Linked DNA regions of Xenopus tropicalis. The protein of the gene in region 2 purifies or fractionates together with the protein of the main gene of each other region. This does not show direct contact. Links are inferred from orthologs where the notes say so. Each region holds a gene or a part of one and is shown on either strand. Other genes may lie near its edges. The genes, in order: rnf146 and tnks2.

Evidence for each region.
Region 1: the proteins of tnks2 (region 2) and rnf146 purify together in Homo sapiens (co-immunoprecipitation; 3 studies listed by BioGRID and IntAct, with this or other methods). This does not show direct contact. The link is inferred for Xenopus tropicalis from reciprocal best matches to the Homo sapiens genes TNKS2 and RNF146.

Annotation. Positions count from the first base shown.
Region 1 is NC_030681.2:67,900,130-67,904,520, reverse strand, and holds the start of rnf146 (E3 ubiquitin-protein ligase rnf146), read right to left. Parts: upstream 3,118-4,391; 5' UTR 3,042-3,117; intron 1,371-3,041; 5' UTR 1,370-1,370; coding exon 419-1,369; 3' UTR 1-418. UniProt on the Homo sapiens protein: E3 ubiquitin-protein ligase that specifically binds poly-ADP-ribosylated (PARsylated) proteins and mediates their ubiquitination and subsequent degradation. May regulate many important biological processes, such as cell survival and DNA damage response.
Region 2 is NC_030683.2:37,227,545-37,231,365, forward strand, and holds part of tnks2 (tankyrase-2), read left to right. Parts: intron 1-1,516; coding exon 1,517-1,638; intron 1,639-2,948; coding exon 2,949-3,040; intron 3,041-3,131; coding exon 3,132-3,210; intron 3,211-3,821. UniProt on the Homo sapiens protein: Poly-ADP-ribosyltransferase involved in various processes such as Wnt signaling pathway, telomere length and vesicle trafficking.

The DNA.
Region 1 (4,391 bases), on a different chromosome or scaffold from region 2:
CTATAGTATTTTTTATATCCCAAGTCATACACTGTTCTCAGGAGACCCCCAAAACATTTTTATGTATTACACATAGGGTACCTTTTGGTTTAGCACCACAAAGTAAAATGTCAATGTATGCCATTCCCATTTAGCAAACAGCTATTAGGCCACAGCCTCTTTTTCCCCATTAATTATAATTATATATAAACAGGTCTTTCGGCCAAAGAGCAAGATACTTCATGTTAATGGTAAAAATAATTTTTTTAAACAAATATTCTAAGTCTGAGCTCAAGTCTAAAACATACTAAGGAAATAACAAGGATGACATTGCTCTTCTTTCTCTGGCTGACTGCTTTAGACTTCTGTGACTGTGCACTGTCCATCAGGTCTTTTAGACCTTACACTGGTACTTTGTGCCTATGCAGGTGGGGTACAATCAGGGATTACCAAATGGGAGCCTATTACTTTGTGGCACAAGAAGTGAATTATGTTGTAATGTAGGACTTCCATGGTCATTACTGTCACTTGGCTCTGATTCTTCCAGCAAAGCACTGGGGGCTGGCATTCTAGCGTTAATTAGAGGCTGTCCTTCTTCACCTTCACCTATATTATTCCTGCCTATCACAGGATCGCCAATCTGAAGCTGAGCAAAGGAGTTCTCCAATGAAGAAGTAACATCAGAATGTGAAAGGGCATGACTTGCAGTTGTACTGAGGGATGTGTGCAGCCTTGTTGGTAACACAGGTGTAGGTTGACTTGAAGAAGCTCCAAGTGCTGCCATGTTGTCCGCACCATCTGCTGAGCTCTCTCGCGCTAGATTTACATTTGCTGCATCACATTCAAGCCTTAGCCCAGCAACTCCTTTTTTTGGTATATCTACAATATCTCTCTTGATTTTTCTACGCCGTCCATGCTCATTACGCCTGTATTGAACCATGTTCTCCAAGTCTGCTACATAGAGGAAGCCAGCTATCAACATCTCTGTGCTCTTTTTGCCTTTTGTGAAGGCATCTTCAAGCTCTCTGCTTGTCCGCTCATCATACTGCCACCAACCATTTCTTCCCTCATAATACCATGCATATTCTCCATTTCCCCTACTTGCAGATTTCAGTTCCTCAGGTGACAGTAATGTAGGCTTATCAAGAAAGTCCTCAGGAATCTCTTGTCTGCACAAAGCACAACGCCTTCCAAGCCAAGAAGCCCCCTTCACACACAAGTAGCAGAATATGTGTTTACAAGGTAGACTAACTGGATGCACACAGGTCTGCAGGCATATAGCACATTCAGGAACAGACAATGAAGGAGCACTGTTGGGACAAGGCTCAACCAGTTTCTTATTAGTGGGCAGCATGTTAGCAGAGTGGCTAACTTCACCACAACCAGCCATCCTGTTGGTAAAAAAATTAAAAGGTTTTATGAGGTTGATTAGAGAAACTGAAAACCAGTCTATGATAAACAATTGAATTGTTCCAGTTTAAAAACGGATGAACAGAAGAAAAACTGGCAGCATAGGTGTTATTATTGTTTACAGATCTTTATTTCAGTTCCATTTCTCAGGTGCTATATCCAGATGAGAAATAGAACCTCGATTTTATGTTTTCCTGGAATTGATACCATTTTTTCCATGTTAAACCATTTGCGCCACTTTGACAGTCCCTTGGAAGACATAAAGTTAGAGTTCTATTGTTATTGAACAGGAGAAAAAGTTCAGCAGGGCTTTTCAGAAGCCAGCCAGCCACCCACTGGAAATTTATATACTTAGGATATTTTATGGAATCTCTCTCAGAAACAGCTGCAATACACCCCAAAGTAACTGCTGTGCCCTGAAACTTAAATTCCTTAAACTAGCAGTAGATCATAGTAGATGAATGGGAACTCAAAAAGCATCTTTTCAAGTTAGCCTTTTTGGGGGAGCTTTATTAAAGTATTTTAATTGAATGAAAAAAAAAAATGTGATTTGTGTGTGTGTTTGGTAGAGGTGAGGGGGGTTAAAGGAATACTGTCATGAGAAAACATGTTTTTTTCAAAACGCATCAGTTAACGGGGTTTCTCCAGCAGAATCCTGCATTGAAATCACTTTTTCAAAAAAAGATTTTTTTATATTTAATTTTGAAATTTCACATGGTTCTATCCATATTCTTCATTTCCCAGGGTGCTACAGCAATGTGACCTGTGCTCTGATAAACTTCAGTCACACTTTACTGCTGAGCTGCAAGCTGGAGTGATATCACCCCCCCCCCCAGCAGCCGATCAGCAGAACAATGGGAAGGCAGCAAGATAGCAGCTGCCAGTATATATCAGAATAGCACTCAATAGTAAGAAATCTACGTCCGGCTTGGGACTCCTCCAGTTACATGGGAGTAGGTTATCTGAAAGCAGTTCTAATGTGTAGCACTGGGTCTTTCTGAAAGCTCAGAATCAGGCACAATGCACTAAGATGGCTGCCTATACACCAATATTACAACTAAAAAAAGATACATTTGTTGGTTCAAGAATACAATTTTAAATGGTGAATTGAATTATATTTTATGTAAACAGTGTAATTTGGTAATAAAAAGTACAACATAAAATTCATGACAGTATCCCTTTAACTAGATGCAGATGAGACATGATTATTTGGAACACAATTTAATACAGTATAGAATGTTTCTTCTTGACATGAAGCCCATGTTCAATTTTCCGTATTGCAAAAAGTCAAGGTTTAATACAGTATATACTCTATAAAGTAATAAAAAGAAGAGAGCATTTGAGCTGTATAAAGCAGCTGTGGTTTCGCCCCTCTCTTTAGCACTATATGGGGAAAATGATACGTTCACTTGTTTAATTGAAATATTTAAGAAGCTCAGTGTCTTAAGATCGCTCTAAAGGCTCACCCCTTTTGGAAAGCGCTGTACATACAATAAAACATGCATTTTTTATGAGGCCTTAGGTATTTGTGCCAGACACCCTACAGTGAAGAAATGCAAGCTTCTGAGAAATCACAATACACTCGGCCTAAATTCAATGGGAATGAGAACTTCGAATAAATAATTTAGAAGTAAAAGCGCAACCTGACATACCGCCCAACAGTCCCGCTTCTCGCGGGACGCTCTCGATATTTTTAACACAGCCCGCAGAACCAGATTGCCGTTTAATCGTCCAACAACGCCATTAATATCCAGCTCCTTGGCTCCTGCCGGAAAGCTAATCCCGACGTCAAAATTGTCATCTCGCGAGACTGTGGCGTCACTACCACACGTATATAAGCGCAGTGACGCGGCACGTAGAGGGGTGACAACTTACTTCCTTGTTTCACAATTATAAGGCGCTAGTAATACAAGGAAGCGTGTTTGCAAACGTTTGCTTCACAGCTAGTAGTTTTCGCAGTTATAGAAAGAAAGAGTCATTTCGTGGTGGTAGCCTACTATGCATGCTGCCTATATTTAGGCACAACTAAGTATTTGTTTTTTCTTATTAGAACTTACACTTGTGTCAGTGAACAAACCCTATTTGCTGGGTTGACAAATGATTTTATTCTTTTCACGGCTTCTGTTTTATTTTTTAGGTGGATATTGTGTTGCAAAGTCTTTGTTTTACCTAAAACGGTTTTTTTTGGCTCTGCTTTAATGAACCTGGTAACAAAGAAAAATAATTTCTTATCAAACATGCTGCCATCAGTGCCTCTTCAATTTGACTAGCAATGAAAGGGTCTTTTTTTTTTTTTTTTTTTTAAACTAGGGCCAGGTGAAGGTCCCAATGTTTTGTTTTTTTTTTGTTTAGTTTTTTTTTAAGTAAGGGCAACAATTACAATTTAGGGACAAAACTGGTTATTTAGGAGAAGACATTGGGTGAAATAGAGCAGCAGTAATCTTTACGTTTTAGGCTCATTTGTTCACGGTGGTGTCAGTTTTCCAGGTTTTATTTTTTCGTAAACTAATGCAAGACTTTTCACAAGTTTTTAGGCTTTTTTTTTTTTTTTACATAAGAGGATCCTGTGGCCATTTTTTGAATTGCCAACAGTAATCTTTAGTTTATATTTTTACAATTTAGTGACAACAGTGACATTCAGAAGACTTAAAATATCCTAAAGTAATCTTTTACTCTGGTCCTAACTCCAAAGTGCACAGGTTCTACAGTGGCTTGCAAAAGTATTCGGCCCCCTTGAACATTTCCACATTTTGTCACATTACAGCCACAAACATGAATCAGTTTTATTGGAATTCCACGTGAAAGACCAATACAAAGTGGTGTACACGTGAGAAGTGGAACGAAAATCATACATGATTCCAAACATTTTTTACAAATAAATAAGTGCAAAGTGGGGTGTGCGTAATTATTCAGCCCCCTTTGGTCTGAGTGCAGTCAGTTGCCCATAGACATTGCCTGATGAGTGCTAATGACTAAATAGAGTGCACCTGTGTGTAATCTAA
Region 2 (3,821 bases):
TTTCATTTCTTTGTCATTGGACAAACTTACAAAATCAGTGAGGGGTCAAATAATTATTTCCTCCACTGTATAGTAAACAATGATTTGTTCAGTTTTAATACATTGATGCTGCGTGGTTATATGACAGCCCTTTCTTATAATTCTAAGAAGGCTCCTAGCATTTCCTCAGAGCACCTGGACAGTTAATGTTAAGTCATTCACGGCCTAAGATGTTGAAATCCACTTTAAGATTAGGGCCCTATTTTGCAGTGCCCAAGTGTGAACAAGGTAGCTTGTGTAGGCACCTCACAGGAGAGGAGGTTGCACAATTAGATTGGGGTAGGGCATGTCCTGGAAACCTAGAACTTTTAAAGGAGAAGGAAAGGCTAAGTCACTTGGGGCTGCCAAAATGTTAGGCACCCCCAAGTGACTTCGAGCACTTACCTTGTACCCTGGGCTGGTGCCCCTGTTAGGAGAAAACAGCAGCAGCCCAGGGTACCTGTAGCGAGCGCTTCCTCCTTCCTCTCTCTTCTGCCGGCGAAATCTGTGGGCCGGCGCATGCGCAGTAGAGTGAAAAGCCGACTTTCTTGTTTAAGTTCGGCTTTTCACTCTACTGCGTATGCGCGCGCAAGCGAATAGGAAGTAGGAAGCGCTCGCTGCTACCCCGGGCTGGTGCTGTTCTCTTCGTACAGGGGCACCAGCCCGGGGTAAAAGGTAGGCGATCTAAGTCACTTGGGGGTGCCTAACATTTTGGCACCCCCAAGTGACTTAGCCTTTCCTTCTCCTTTAACTTCTGGTGCTACATTCAGCCACAGGTTTTCCCAGAAGGAAATGGCATTCATTTCAGCTATTTTTAAGGTGATTACTTTGCAGTGTTTAGACAGGCATTGGTCATCTGTTTCATTTTAAGTGTTAAGGATGCCCATTCAAAAATATCTGTTAGCCTGAATGGTTGGTATGAAGGATATAGATTTTTTTCTGCTTTCAAATGATCTATCTAATGCTGTTTCTGAAAGATGAAATCAAAACCAATTTATCATGTTCCGGTGCAGCTTTTTTTTTTTTCCTCATAATTCCAATGTAATTGCTAGTGCAAGGTTGTCAAGTGATATAACTAAAGGGAGTGCAGTTGAAAATTTTCAGTATTCCATTGATGTCACTATGCATAAAAATTACATCTGCACCCAATTTTGTAGACATTGGCTACCAGCAGCATTGGGCATTGGCGACTTCAGGGTTTCCTACAGTGGACTAGTTAGATTATTTAAAATACGTCAAGAGACCTTTGCAATTAACATAATCAGTTTTGCACATTGCTGGTTTAGTTTTCTGATGACACAAATGAGTTATGTATAGTATCTATGCAGCGATATAGATATATCACAAAATGCTGTATGTTCTATAGGCTTGATAACCTAATAAAAATTGTCACCTAAAAGAATAAGTAGATATTTACATTTGTTTTACCTTTATGTATCAAATTGTTTTTATAATTAATACAAATCAATTACATTTTTATATTTCTTTTTTTATTCAGATGAATTCAAAGGCCATTCATTGCTTCAAGCTGCCAGGGAAGCAGATCTAACACGTGTTAAAAAACATCTCTCCTTAGAGATTGTGAATTTCAAGCATCCTCAGACTCATGACACTGCTTTGGTAAGAAACCAAACCCAGTTGCATTGGTTTCTATGTAAATGTCATGTGCTTATATACTATGTATAATTGGGCACGTGTATGCAAGTTTATTTGGTTTTATAACTGTGTAAAAATCTTTGCCCATTTTTTTATCTCTTGCTTTGATAAGGACAGGATATCTGTGGCTGATGGAGGGGTAGAGTGTCTTCTGGACCCCAAAATATCTGTCTACCTACTGAACACACACAAATATCTCATTTGAATCTGAATCTCATTTGAAGTGGTTGCATGCTTTAAGTGTGTTAGACCTGTTATGAAGAATTGGCATCGTATATAAACTGATTTTACTCTTTGTACATGACGGATTTCTTGTTGCTACATTTTCTTATCGTGCATTGGCTGTGACTCTTTAATTTCTTCTACGACCAGAATGCTAGTTTGGCAAAACCTAGTGGCACATGCTAGGTTTCCTGTCCTTGTCTGGTTGCATTCTTGCTTACTTATATGTTGTTTTTACCTCATTGAGGTTGCCTTTATCTGGCTTCTTTAATTCTATTAACAGTAGCAGGACATGTTGTAGGGTAAATCCAAAGAGTAGGAGTCCTTAATATTGGTGTCCATTGCTCTAAAATGCACCCATCCTCTGTTTGAGCAGAAATATTACCAGGGCCCAAGCTATCCTGTTGAACTAGCAGAACAGCTTTTCAGCAATAATTTTTTTCCCTCTTCTTACAAATATGCATAGGTCATGTGTCTGCCCTTTCTTCCCAGCTTTGCAATACTCCAGGGAAAATGTCTGTCTTCAGTGTTCTCATGAAAATGAATTATCGCTAAAATTCTTAAACTGTTTTAAAGCTTTGTAGATGCCATATTGTAAGCATTTTTATATTCCTACTAATATATTTATGTTCTTTGATTAGTTAGGCATATACATTCCAAATTAACACTCATGTATAATAAAGGTTGAAGAAACATGAACGTTTTGAAAGGCAGACATATTGGCCAAGTGCATTTGCCCATAGCAACCAGTCATTGTTTAGTTTTAAACAACCTACTACTAGCTAGGAAATGAAGATGATGGTCCTATTGGTTGCTATGGACAACTCCCCTGGTGCAGAGTAGCACCAGTCTTATTAAATCAGCCCTCTTTTCTTTCAGTGTACCCCTAAAAGTTTGTAATGGTTTAGACGTCTCATAACCATACCAAAAAAAATGATGCTGCATATATTGTTTGAGTGCTGATGTTTAGAATGTTATAGATTTTTTTTTTCTTATACATGAAAATGTCGGTCATCAATAGATTTTACAATGTATTTATTTTCGTTTTCCAGCATTGTGCTGCTTCATCACCCTATCCAAAGAGGAAGCAAGTGTGTGAACTTCTCTTTAGAAAAGGAGCAAATGTTAGTGAGAAGACCAAAGAGTAAGTTTATATTCTCTTTTTTAAAATCTTTCTTAAGGATCTCAAAATTGTTATTTTATTATTATTCATTTATTTCTTTTTTTCTCTAAAGCTTTTTGACGCCTCTCCATGTTGCTTCAGACAAAGCTCATAATGATATTGTGGAGGTGCTGATTAAACACGAAGCCAAGGTATAATTTTTCTCGTATTTGATGCTCCTTTTTAAGTTCTTACATTCCTGTGTGAATTGTTAAGTCACTGTAAAGACTATATTACTTTTATTTCCACATCTTTTGGAGTGAAGCTTTGCTATTTTTAGCTTAGATGAGAATGTTCTGAAATATTTCCTTGTTTAGATTCCTGTGTTCCCATGCATATGTAAAATGCCATAAATTCATTTGTAAGAAAACTACAGCAAGTCAGCATGAAGATATTTAGCCATTTTAGCCATTTTCATCGCATTGCAGGGAAACTATTGAATAATAGTATTTTTCGAACCATGTATTTTTTAAAATTGACACTTCTTTCTGTTTACCAGCCAAAATTATCAGCACTGTTGAAAATTGAGTTATGTGCCATTATTGGTGTTTTGTCTTGAGTGGGGGTGTTTCTGAATCCCCATTTAGCCTTCATTCTCCCTAAGGGATTTAATTTATTTCTTCAATATTTTCAGTGTTCTAAAACAGACAAAATGTTTTCTTCAGTCCCAATGTGAATGCTTGCAAGTGAGGTTGATGCTGCCCATGGTCACTTGGTCAAATAAAAAAAAAAAAAAAAAAAAAAAGTGTTTGTTTATACTTTC